3 linked regions of the Oryctolagus cuniculus genome follow. The main gene of each other region encodes a partner of the protein of the gene in region 3 in a complex. Links are inferred from orthologs where the notes say so. Each region holds a gene or a part of one and is shown on either strand. Other genes may lie near its edges. The genes, in order: GRN, NTS and SORT1.

What was found.
Region 1: the proteins of SORT1 (region 3) and GRN are in contact, whole or in part, in a crystal structure (PDB 8T8S), measured with the Homo sapiens proteins. The link is inferred for Oryctolagus cuniculus from reciprocal best matches to the Homo sapiens genes SORT1 and GRN. Residues at the interface, in NP_002950.3 of Homo sapiens: Leu108, Gly110, Ser111, Val112, Ser113, Leu114, Ile174, Gly175, Pro176, Lys260, Tyr304, Ser305, Phe306, Gly307, Leu308, Phe314, Ala315, Ser316, Arg325, Ile327, Phe350, Tyr351, Ser352, Ile353, Leu354, Tyr395, Thr398, Gly399, Thr402, Phe404; in NP_002078.1 of Homo sapiens: Pro578, Arg579, Trp580, Asp581, Ala582, Pro583, Arg585, Arg590, Gln591, Leu592, Leu593.
Region 2: the proteins of SORT1 (region 3) and NTS are in contact, whole or in part, in a crystal structure (PDB 4PO7), measured with the Homo sapiens proteins. The link is inferred for Oryctolagus cuniculus from reciprocal best matches to the Homo sapiens genes SORT1 and NTS. Residues at the interface, in NP_002950.3 of Homo sapiens: Val112, Ser113, Leu114, Ser115, Trp116, Lys260, Tyr304, Ser305, Phe306, Gly307, Leu308, Phe314, Ser316, Arg325, Ile327, Phe350, Tyr351, Ser352, Ile353, Tyr395, Gly399, Thr570, Gly571, Leu572, Ala573, Trp586, Trp597; in NP_006174.1 of Homo sapiens: Leu152, Tyr153, Glu154, Asn155, Pro160, Tyr161, Ile162, Leu163.

The regions. Positions count from the first base shown.
Region 1 is NC_091448.1:18,942,974-18,947,135, reverse strand, and holds the start of GRN (progranulin), read left to right. Parts: upstream 1-1,336; 5' UTR 1,337-1,489; intron 1,490-3,556; 5' UTR 3,557-3,563; coding exon 3,564-3,701; intron 3,702-3,773; coding exon 3,774-3,899; intron 3,900-4,024; coding exon 4,025-4,109; intron 4,110-4,162. UniProt on the Homo sapiens protein: Secreted protein that acts as a key regulator of lysosomal function and as a growth factor involved in inflammation, wound healing and cell proliferation. Regulates protein trafficking to lysosomes, and also the activity of lysosomal enzymes.
Region 2 is NC_091442.1:88,635,799-88,639,444, forward strand, and holds part of NTS (neurotensin/neuromedin N), read left to right. Parts: intron 1-2,505; coding exon 2,506-2,730; intron 2,731-3,646. UniProt on the Homo sapiens protein: Neurotensin may play an endocrine or paracrine role in the regulation of fat metabolism. It causes contraction of smooth muscle.
Region 3 is NC_091438.1:61,110,683-61,114,328, reverse strand, and holds part of SORT1 (sortilin), read right to left. Parts: intron 3,202-3,646; coding exon 3,011-3,201; intron 917-3,010; coding exon 727-916; intron 1-726.

The sequences.
Region 1 (4,162 bases), on a different chromosome or scaffold from region 3:
AGATGGAGGGAGTGATAGCAAACGTGAAAGGGAGGGAGGCCAGGGTGGCTGGGTGAGGGAGCCACAGGCCTGGTCAGGGGCCCGTGGGAGGCTCGGGGAAGGGACGCGTCGGGCCTGACCCCCGGTGGCAAACGTTTCCATGAGCCCGGACGTCTGCCTCTCACGTCCCCTTGTCCCTGGGCGTGGAAGTGCCGCGGGCTCGCTGCAACCACTGGACAAGCTCATTGCAAACCGATTGCACACTTCCTGCCGCCAGCAATCAGGGCAAGGGCACGGCTGCTCAGCCTCACTGCCGGCCTTGGAGAGGGCCGCCTTAGGGCATCCAGGACCTTGTGCCTCTATCGCCGACGTCCCCAGCGCACTGGACTTCTAAGTTCTTCTGTGAGAAGTCTGCCTTCTGCCATTTTCCTATTGAATGCTCTTAATCTGTGCGACCGCTTCTAGAAGCCTCAATGCACACAGCCCCCGATCTTTTCAAAACTGCTTGTTGCTGGGAAACGAGAACATTAAAAAGTGTGCAAACTAACAGAAAAGACGCCCGGTGTGAGGCGAACACACCCCTCACCCCTGAGGCCGTGACAACCCCAAGACGTCTCCAGACGCTGCTGCGAACGTCCCCGGTGGGCAACACTGCCCCCGTTGGGGAATCTCTGCTCTCCTCACTCGCCGTGTCCGCTCCTGGAAGGCAGAGCTGACTGAAGCTAGGAGCCACTTGCCCTCGCTGCCCACCCGCGCCGGGCGCCCCCCTGGCTCCGGGCCTGTGCGATCTCCCAGCGCCCCGCCCCGCCCCCGCTGCGACCCAGGTCCTCGCGGGTTCAGCTCGAGCCACTGCTCCCACGGCCGACTTCAATCCCTCCTTCTCGGGCGTGAGCCACCCTCGCTCCTCTCCCTCCAGCACCTCCACGGCACCCGGCACGCGCGCTGAGCCTGACCCGGCCGCTTAGGCGAGGGTCTGGGAGCTGCCCCTTTCGGCGTCCACAGCCATCCCTCATCTCCCCTCGGGGTTCGGCTGCCCGACCTTTAACGCGAGGCGGCTCAAAGAACAGAAGCGGAGTGCACAAAGCTCCGCCGCCCAGCGCCCGCGAACGCCCGCGAACGCCCCGCAGAGGCGCGGCCGGCCGGCGGTCAGCGTCCACAAATAACGCGGGCCCCTCCTCCCGCACACAACTCCAGGCGCCGGCGGCACGCGGCTGGCTGCGAGGCTGGCAGCGGCAGCCCCGGCCGAGGCGTCATATGATTCCCCAATCACATGATCCCAAGAAAATGGGGTGTGGGGAGAGAGAGGAAGGGGAGGAGGAGGCTGAATTGAGAAAAAGAAACACAGCTTTCCAGGCTGGCCCCGCCTCTACGTCGAGGACTAGCCAATGGGGGCGCGGTATCTGGGATCCCCGGCCAATGGAAACAGAGGAGGGTGGGCCAGCGCGCTGAGGGGCCGGCGTCCGTGAGGGGAGCCGCGGCTGCTGCCCAGGGAGCGCGGACGCGGACGCAGGTAGCAGGGCGGCGGCGCAGGGGCTTGGAGGGGGGTGTGGGCTTAGGGGTCCTCTGGCGTCTCAGCCCGGAGGCGAGAGAAGAGCCGCTTGTGGAAACTCCTTTAGGGGTTTCTGATGCACGGGGGTAGGGGGCGCAAGCAGTCACTGCAGACACCCCCACCCGAGGGGGCTTCTCTGCCTCCCAGAACCCCGGGAGCCGCAGTCCCCCCGATTCTTGAGCCTGCCCCACCGCCTGCAGGCAGGTGCCGGCTCTTCCCCTTCTGGCGGTGAGGGTGGGGGGTGGTCCCTGAAGGGGAGGCCCGCCCGCCCGCCGCTTGTCCCGGGGCGCAGAGGGGCTTGGAGCGGGACAGGGGAGAGGTGACTGAACCCCCGGGTGGAGTCTGGCTCTTCCCCAACTTCCTCTGCCGGGGGGCGGCACGAGCTAACTTCCGCCTCTCCCCGCCACTTTTTCCTGCGCCTTCGCAGTTCACCTTTTGGGGAATTTCCTGGCCCCTTGGCCCTGGGGTTGGGAGTGCCACTTAGCGGAAGGTGCCAGGGGCTTACAGAGGCTCCGTCCTCTCCGGGCCGGGGGTGAGGGTGGGGTGAGGGAGACCCTCGCCCCATCGCCGGGGCTGTGCGCGCCTGCGTGCGTGTGGATTCGCCAGAGCGTGCACTGCACTCCCCCCACTCCAGATACAGGGCGAGGAAGATACGACAGCTAGGTCACGGGCGCCGGGTAGTCCCGGGCAGACAGGCCCCCACCTGGCGGCCTGCGCTGGGGCTGGGCACGGAGAAGCAGGTGCAGGCGGCTGCGCGGGCTCTGCCCGGGAGCTGAGGGGCGAGCGCGGACCTGGGGACTCGGTCCAGGACCAGGCGGCTCGGTCCAGGACCAGGCTGCGGCCGCGAGAGCCAGGGGGTGGCCTTCCAGGTGTGTGGGGGGCCGGGGGGGGGTACTTGAGCAAATGCAGGAAACACTTCCATTCCCTGCCTGTGCCTGGACCCCAGGCCCACCCCTCCCATGGTTTGGGGTCCCTTCCCGGGCCGGCGTGCCCTGAGCCATCAGGGCCCGCTCTCACTGGAGCTGGCACGGGGCTGGACTTCTGCCATAAAGCCTCGGGCTCCAGTTTCCCTCTGAGGGTAAAGGTCGTGCTCCTCACGCTGGATGATGGTTGCAAAGCAGTAAACAACCAGGAGTGCCCCGGCAGGCATGCGGCCCGGCCGGGAGGCAGGGTAGCGCTTCTTGGGTTGGCGGCACAGGCCCCGAGCCCGGGGAAAGACTTGTGTGGGTAGCAGGAGGCGGCTTCCCCCAGGAGCCTGTGGCCGGTTCCTCCCGCTGACTCAGATGGGCCGCCCAGCGGGCGCAGTAGCCTCTGCCCACATGTGGCTGCTTCATTTCCAGCAGAGGAGACATGGGGATGGGTGATGTGTTTGGGGACTTGACAGGGCCCTTGGTGGTGTTGGGGGCCCTCAGCACACAGGGATCTGGAAGCTGCCCTTGCCTCCGTGTCTCCTGTCCTGGGTGGGGTGGGGACCGCCGCGGGCAGCAGTGAGGGAGCCCTGGGGAAGACACCCGAGTCTCCACTGGCTGCCACTTCCTGTTTCACAACTTTTCTTAACCCTGTGGCGTCCGTGTCAGGAAGTGACCACTGGGCCCTGCGAGACCACAGCAAGGGCAGGTGTGGGTGCAGCGTTGGGAGGACTGGCTGAGGAGTGGGGAGCCTTGGATGTTCCTGGAGAAGCCCCTCCTGTACCCCAGCCCCATCCTCTCCCCTGGCCCTGAGCCCCCCCCCCCGAGGTGGCCCACGTCTCCACACATCACATCCACAGAATCCACACTGCGTCTCACAAGCCCGCGTCTGCACACTCGCACACGGAGACGCAGGAGTGTCACGTGCTTGGAACATGCAATGACACACAGGGAGGAAGCTGCGTCCGAGCCACACGTTTCTGCGTCGGGACGGAGCTGGGAGGCAGGCTCCAGGTCTCCCGGGCCTGGACGTCGGCCTGGGGCTGCCTGAGCGAGCGGCTTCAGACTCTGAGGCGGCCTGGACTTCAGCTGGTTGACAGGTGCCCGTTGGTGTTCGCAGGCAGACCATGTGGGCCCTGGTGAGCTGGGTGGCCGTCATGGCAGGGCTGGTCGCTGGAACACAGTGCCCCGACGGTCAGCGCTGCCCCGAGGCCTGCTGCCTGGACCCTGGAGGAGCCGGCTACAGCTGCTGCAGCCACGTGCCGGTGAGTGCCCGGCTAAGAGCCTTCCCAAGGCGGGCAGAGGCCTTCGGTCTATTCTCTGGCCTCTCTTTGCAGGACAAATGGCCCCCGACACTGAGCAGGCGTCTGGGCAGACCCTGCCAGGTGGGTGCCCACTGCACCCACGGCGCCTCCTGCGTCCTCACCGTCTCGGGCACCTCCAGCTGCTGCCCCTTTCCGGAGGTGAGGGCACCGCTTATGCAGTGGAGGGGCTCGGAGCTGCCTTTGCACTTTGCCTGCCTGCCTCCCGCCCCCCGCCCCCTCGGGTAGGAGGGCCATCCCGACGCAGGCGCCTCTGTGTCCCACAGGCTGTGTCCTGCGCGGATGGCCGTCACTGCTGCCCTCGGGGCTTCCACTGCAGCGCGGATGGGCGAGCCTGCTTCCGGGCGGCAGGTGCGGCAGGGGCACAGGGGAGGGCCGGTGGGCCCGGAGCCCGGCCAGCGGAG
Region 2 (3,646 bases), on a different chromosome or scaffold from region 3:
CTGCTTCTGTTACTAATGCAATATTTTCAATTTTTAAAGTATTTTTTTGAATTGGGGTAGTTACTCACTTCTTTTTGAAATCTTTTTTAAATATTTATTTGTATTTATTTGAAAGAATTACAAAGAGGAGAGACAGACACACACACACACACATTGAGAGAGAGAGAGAGAGAGAGAGAGAGAGAGAAGTCTTCCATTGCTGGTTCACTCCCCAGTTGGCCACAAGATCCGGAGCTGCGCCAGTCCGAAGCCAGGAGCCAGGAGCTTCCTCCATTCTCCCATGTGGGTGCAGGGGCCCAAGGACTTGGGCCATCTTCCGCTGCTTTCCCAGGTGCATTAGCAGGGAGCTAGATCAGAAGTAGAGCAGCCAGGACTCAACTTGGGACCCATATGGGATGCCTGTGCTGCAAGTCTGGGCTTTAATCTGCTGTACCACAGCACTGGCCCCTCTTTTTGAAATCTTAATAGTTGTGTTAAGGATACTAAAATTTTGTGCCAGTTTTTTCTACATAGATTGATTTTGATTGAGTTCAGGATGCTGTATGTTTCCATAGAGATATTGGTGATTTACACATTTCTGTATTTAAAATCATCTTTGTCTTTATGGAAATTGATTTAGAATCTGCTAAGGTTATCACTCCTGGCTTGTAAAATAAATTGTCCTACATTTTCACAGTAGTTTATTTTATTCATATTAATCTATCTGGATATTGCTTGAAAATAACACATCAAAAAAGTTCTAACTAGGGACTGGCTTTACATCACAGTGGGTTAAGCCACTGCTGGCGATACTGATGTCCTATATTGGAGTGCCAATTAAAGTCCTGGCTACTCAAGTTCTGATCCAGATACGTGCTAATGTGCCTTGGAAGGCAGAAGAAAATGGCCCAAGTACTTGGGCCCTACCACGCACATGAGAGATCTGGGTGGAGTTCCTGACTCCTGGCTTCGGCCATTCCCAGCCCTGTCTTTGGGTATTTGAGGAGTGAACCAACAGATGGAAGTTCTGTCTCGCTCTCTCCCTCTCTGTTATGTTGCTTTTGAAAAAACAGACATATAATAAGTCTTTTTAAAAGGTTATAATCATATCTGCATGTAAATATCTCCATAGATAACTGTCCCAAAATATTTGAGATGCAACCTTTGCTGTATACAACACACAAACATGCACTTGGGTCCGTTCTGGAACATTATATTCTCTTCCTTTAGATTTTGTGTTTATCCCTGCACTATTAATTCACCCCTTTGATTACTGTAGCTTTCAAATGCATTTTAACATTTAGTAGAATAAGCCTTTCCTTGACACCATTTTTCTACATCTTCTTGGTTGTTCTCACTCGGTCAAACCTTTATAATTATTCTGCCAAATCCCATTCTGCAACTTCCAGGATCCCTGTGTTTTCCACACTGGAACACTGATTTACAATTACATTGTATTTGGAGAGTAGTTCAGAAAAAATATAGCTTGATATTATTATAATTAAGCCTGTCCATAATGCCCTTGTGTTCATTTAAATCTCTTTTTTAGTCTTTGAGAAAAAATAATATTTGTGCCCTTTGAATTTTTTGCTCATTTTGAGTATTTCACTGCTAGGGGATTTCCTACTCCTTGTTTTCTTATTGGTTATTGTTGATATGGAGGAACATTGTTGATCATGGTTAATTATGGTTTTTAACAAGACCTTATTAGAGGGGCCCAGCACTGTGGCACAGCAGGTTAAAGCCCTGGTCTGCTGCATGGGCATCCCTTATGGGCTATGGCCTGGGAAATCAGTAGAAGATGGCCCCTGCACCCACATGGGAGACCCAGAGGAAGCTCCTGACTCCTGCCTTCCAATAGGCGCAGCTCCGACCATTGTAGCCATCTGCAGAGTGAACCAATGGATGGAAGAACTTTCTTTCTGTTTCTGACTCTGACTCTCTGTAACTCTGTTTTACAAATAAATAAAATAAATCTAAACAAAGGCCTTATTAGAAAATAAATTCCATGAAATATTATAATTATAATTCACAAATAAATTGGTCAGCTCTAATGCTTGCATGACAGGTATTAATGTGAGGAATATGTTAACAGCCTCACACTATTGTAATTGTCCAAGTCTATTAATATCATTTTAGTTCTTGCTGCATTAGGCACTAAGCTGGAACATAATGAAAAGCAAATTATATTTTTTGAATTTTAGTTTTTTCATCTCTGACATGTGTAGACATATATATGTCTACTGGCCACCATCTATAATATCTTACTTTCATATATAATTGTTGTGTATATGCATGTATGTATGTGTGTGTATGTGTGTCTAACTCTATTATGTATTCTATTATCCAGAGAATGCCAAGAATTTAACTTATGACATGAAGTTATTATATCAGCAATACTATATTTATTAGGCTAGAGTAACAATTAAACTCCAAAATGCCATGAATTAACTTAATAGAAATTTATTTCTTACTCATATTCCACAAGTTTTATTTCAAATAGTTGTTTTGCCTTCTGTATTTCAGATCACTAAAGCAAGTGTTCCTTCTTGGAAAATGACCCTGCTCAATGTTTGCAGTTTTGTGAATAACCTGAACAGCCAAGCTGAAGAAACAGGAGAGGTTCGTGAAGAGGAGCTTGTTACAAGAAGGAGATTCCCTACCACTTTAGATGGCTTTAGCTTGGAAGCAATGCTGACAATATACCAGCTCCAAAAAATCTGCCACAGCAGAGCCTTTCAACACTGGGAGGTAAAACAAAAACAAAATATGAATATAATTATATGTAAACTAGTTAGCTCTCATTTGTATTGATTTTTTATCCCAATCATATCATAACAGGAAGAATCACGAATATTAAAGAATAAACCATGTGCTGAGATCAATATTCCTCCAAATCTTCAAAGAGTTCTTACAATATTTGGAGTTTAGAAAAAATATTTTATCTTAAATCTTAAAAAGGGATAGATTTTAAGGCAGATTTGATCCATATGCTTTATTATGCTTAAGTGGATGACATGTTTTGGCAATTTTTGATGTTGGTGGTGGTTGTGGCATGTCTAAGAAATTTAAGGAATTCAAAACGTTTTCTTAGAAACACAAAGTCATGTGTTTACTTATCTACAAACAAATGCAAGATGCAAAGTGTTCCAAATAAAACCAGAATAAACACAAAAGATTTTATTTGCATTTGAATATATTATGCAAATAAAATACACATATACATATGCATACAATCATTTATATAAAACATATGATAGGGAGATATATCCCTTTCATTTCATTTTTTAAATTTATGCAAATAAAATACACATATACCTATGCATACATTCATTTATATAAAACATATAAGATAGGGAGATATATACCTTTCATTACATTTTTTAAATTTAATTTGTATTTAAATACATTATGCAAATAAAATCTTTTTGTAATTTGTAAAATATATATGATATATATTTTTATCATTCCACTTTTATCCAGAACTCTTTGATTTGTGTTTGTTTATAAAGAAAAATACATGACTCTGTGCATGTGTTTGTAGTCCTATTTTAAATGTTTGTGAATTTCAGGCATTCTTAGCAGCTAAACTAGGTTCACTATAGCCACGACAGCTAAGTTTCATCATACAGAACTACAATGAGAAACTGGGTGAATAAGTTGTATT
Region 3 (3,646 bases):
TTCCTTGTCCAACTCCTTTAGGATCCTGTCCATGTCTTCTGCAGGTAACAAGTTCCAAAGGATTATTACATGTGATGTGAAGCAGTTCCTCTTACTTGCCCTAACATTACCTCATTTAAGCCACACAGGAGTTCCTTTGCCTTTATATAATTGACTAACTCTCTGCCAACCAAGTAACTAATCCTTAAGGCTGATGATCCTGAACTCCAGGGCGCCCATCTTGACAGCCCTTAAACCTTGATGGGACACAGAGACCAAGACTACCGATGCTACCTCTAGTCTCAAGACCAGACCGCCATCTCTGCCTTCAGTCTTGCATAGGGTCCAGACCCCAGTGTCCTGCCTGCTGAAATCAAGCTGCCAGGCTACGCCCTACAGTCCAGTGTCCTCTCTCCTGTACCGCTTTCCTTGGTGCTTGTTCTGTTGCTTTCTAGAGATGCTTTATTTTACTGGCTTCCTTCTTATACTGCTTGTCTCTTCCCACAGTTGCCAAGTCAGGATTTCTGTAGTTTGTTGCTGGTTCTGCCCAGTAATTACCTGTGCAATATGATTATCTGTCCAATAATTAACAACTTTGGTTCCCTGTCTCTGTGCCTCAATTTTCTTGATAAGCAGCAGCTTTCCACTCTTGGGGAGTGGATTTCAATATTTTTTAGCCCTACGACAACTCTTTCATCCTCCAGCATAGGAAAGGGGCTGACAAAAAAGTCTGGGGAATGCAAATACCAGAGGAAGTCCTCCAGGGAACAGGGACAGATGGACGGCTGCTTGGCGACAACATAGTCTCGACCGTTCTGACAGACGGAAGATTTGCGTAGCCGAAGGTACTGTTCTTTATATCCCAAAATGCAGCCATCTTCATGGTCTCCGGGGTCTGTGGAGTGCGCCAGCCATACGGTGTAGTCTTTCTCTTCACCTAAAGGACAGACGGACTGCTCAGGAAACCATGCGCACAGAACCCACCCACGGAGGCAGCTGCCAGGCTACAGAAAGAAGGACAGGGAGACAGGGAATGGCTGACTCAGCTTCTTGCTTCATTTTGGAAGTGCAGACAAAAAGTCTAGAGTCAACTAGCAGTGGCCATCTCTTCACGCCAAGAGGGGGCTCTCTCCCCTCCCCTACAGTTGGAGGATTCGCAGAGACCTTGTTTGTTCCGGGAGGGAGGCTGGGAAGAGGCCCTCCAGAGCTCATTCCAGGCTGAGGGGTGGCTGATGCATGCCTGGAGCACCTCTGTCCCTGGCCAGCAACCACATGCTTTCCCATCAGCCTCAGGGGCTCTTTGTTTAGGACAGGAGACTAATTAACAGAGCACAGTTTCAATTTCACGTGTGTGAGTTTGCTTCAAACACAGGGAAAACGACCTCTTTCTACACTTCTAACTCTACCCAACTGGCTCCCAAATGCAGACTGCTGGTGGCAACAGTTTCTGGCTTAGTATACTGTCTCTTCTGTGCCTGGAAAAATGACTCAAAGGCTATGCCCTGAAGACTGTGGATTAGGTTTTCCTCCTTTGGGATATGAAGACCAGCACAGAGCCTGTTTGAAGGGCAGGTAGAATAAATCTTTTAATGATTTTAACTTTAGGGATAGCTATTGAACTGCCCTCCGAGGGGAAGACTCATAAGCCAGTTCTTTTATAGCCTAATTAGTGAATTTAGAGATAGTGACCCTCAGGTATTAAATCATAATTAAACAGGGTCCAAACCAACAGCTGTGTTTCTCAGGAGTCACTGAATTAACACTTTGAGGAAATGGACCCATAACAATCTTCAGTGAAGATGTCCTGACGTTGAGTCTTTGACTGTATTATGCCGACGTGGAACACAGATCACTTTTTCTCCAGGTTTTCCTATTTCTCTAACTGTCAGCACTGCTGGCACTGGAGTCTGGGAATACCGTGCAGTGAACACTGAAGCCCTTTGCACATCTCGTTTGAAGTCACAGAGCTCTGACGGGGCTTCCTGTCGGCCCAGTGGCCACTCTGCAGCCTCACCTGCAACTGAGGTTCTGACCAAAACTGCATGAGAGCGTCCTCACTTCAGCACACTGAGATGACACAATTAGATGCTCTTTCGCAATAGTTTCCTCTAAAATTTCCTCCTCACAGTCCCACTACATTTCCCTAATCAGAGGTGAAAAACCCTGAAATGTTATGAAATCATTTTAGACAAATACTCAGATACTATTCCTACAAGCAGGACAAAAGCCACATAAAAGTTACAGAGAGTGCTCTAACAGTGCAAAAGCCCTACTGTGATAAGGGGTAGCACTAGACCCACGTGGCTGGTCTGGTGTAAGGTTTGCTGTGTTAAATATATACCAGATTTTGAACACTTAGAAGAAAAAAAATGAAAAAAATCTCACTAATCATTTTTTTAGAGAGATAGAGGGAGTTATAGACAGTGAGAGAGAGACAGAGAGAAAGGTCTTCCTTCTGTTGGTTCACCCCCAAAATGGCCACTACGGCTGGCATTGCGCCAATCCGAAGCCAGGAGCCAGGTGCTTCCTCCTGGGCTCCCAAGTGGGTGCAGGGTCCAAGGACTTGGGCCATCCTCCACTGCCTTCCCGGGCCACCACAGAGAGTTGGACGGGAAAAGGAACAACTGGAACAGAATCCATTGCCCCAACTGGGACTAGGACCCCGGGGTGCTGGCGCCGCAGGCAGAGGATTAGCCTAGTGAGCTGCGGTGCTGGCCTTACTAATCATTTTTAATATTGCTTGAATGTTGAAATCATAATATATTATCTATATTAAGATTTCACCATTCTTTTCACTTTTATAATGTAGCTGACAGAATAATTGAAATTACTTATTGGCCCTCGTATTTCTCTTGGATAGTGCTAGTCCCAAGAAGGAAACTGCTTTTCCGGTCCATTCCACTGCTTGATTATCCTTCAGTCCCTTGTGTATGCATTTGCTTATTCCAGCTAAAAGAAATGAAACTGAATTGATTATTGAGAGAAATAGGCTTACAAGATTATGTTAGAAAAGGTTGAAAGAGGCACTTACAGTTCCTTTCAAGGATATCCTTAAAATTGATGGTGTAGGAGACCCACTGGCGGGTCAGGAAAGACTCTGTGAAACCCCAAATGCTGATGTTCATGGACCTGGCCCCGGGTTCCGAAGCCAGGCCGGTGAAATAGATGGGCTCCGTGGTGAACGTGTAGGTTTGCCAGCATTGACCTTCATCTGTAGAGAACCTAAAAGCACAATCAGAGAAAGACCATGGCAGATGATCACTGTGTTCAGGGAATGACAGGAAACCGCTCTGGCTATTGGATCCCAAACTAGAGACAAACCCTTTTGAAGTGAGGGCTTACAATTATTTTAATTTTTAGTACCACAGTTAACAGGGCAGGGAAAGGGGATTCAAACAGAGTACAGAGTAAATACTTCTATAAAAGTCATTTCAAAGGAAGAGGAAAGGGTAGTGACCCAGGTAAGAATGGCTTTTAAATTAGTAAACTCAAGTTATTTTATAAGAACTTGTACACTCAAGAAGTCATTTCTAACCCAGAGTTGATACGCTTGATACTTGCGTAATATTTGGGGGTTGAGAAAGAATGTTTTTAAACAGTGACAAAATGTGTAAGCTAGAGGGAGTCACTGGAAAAAGCAATGCTTTTAATCTGAGTTGCTCTAAAT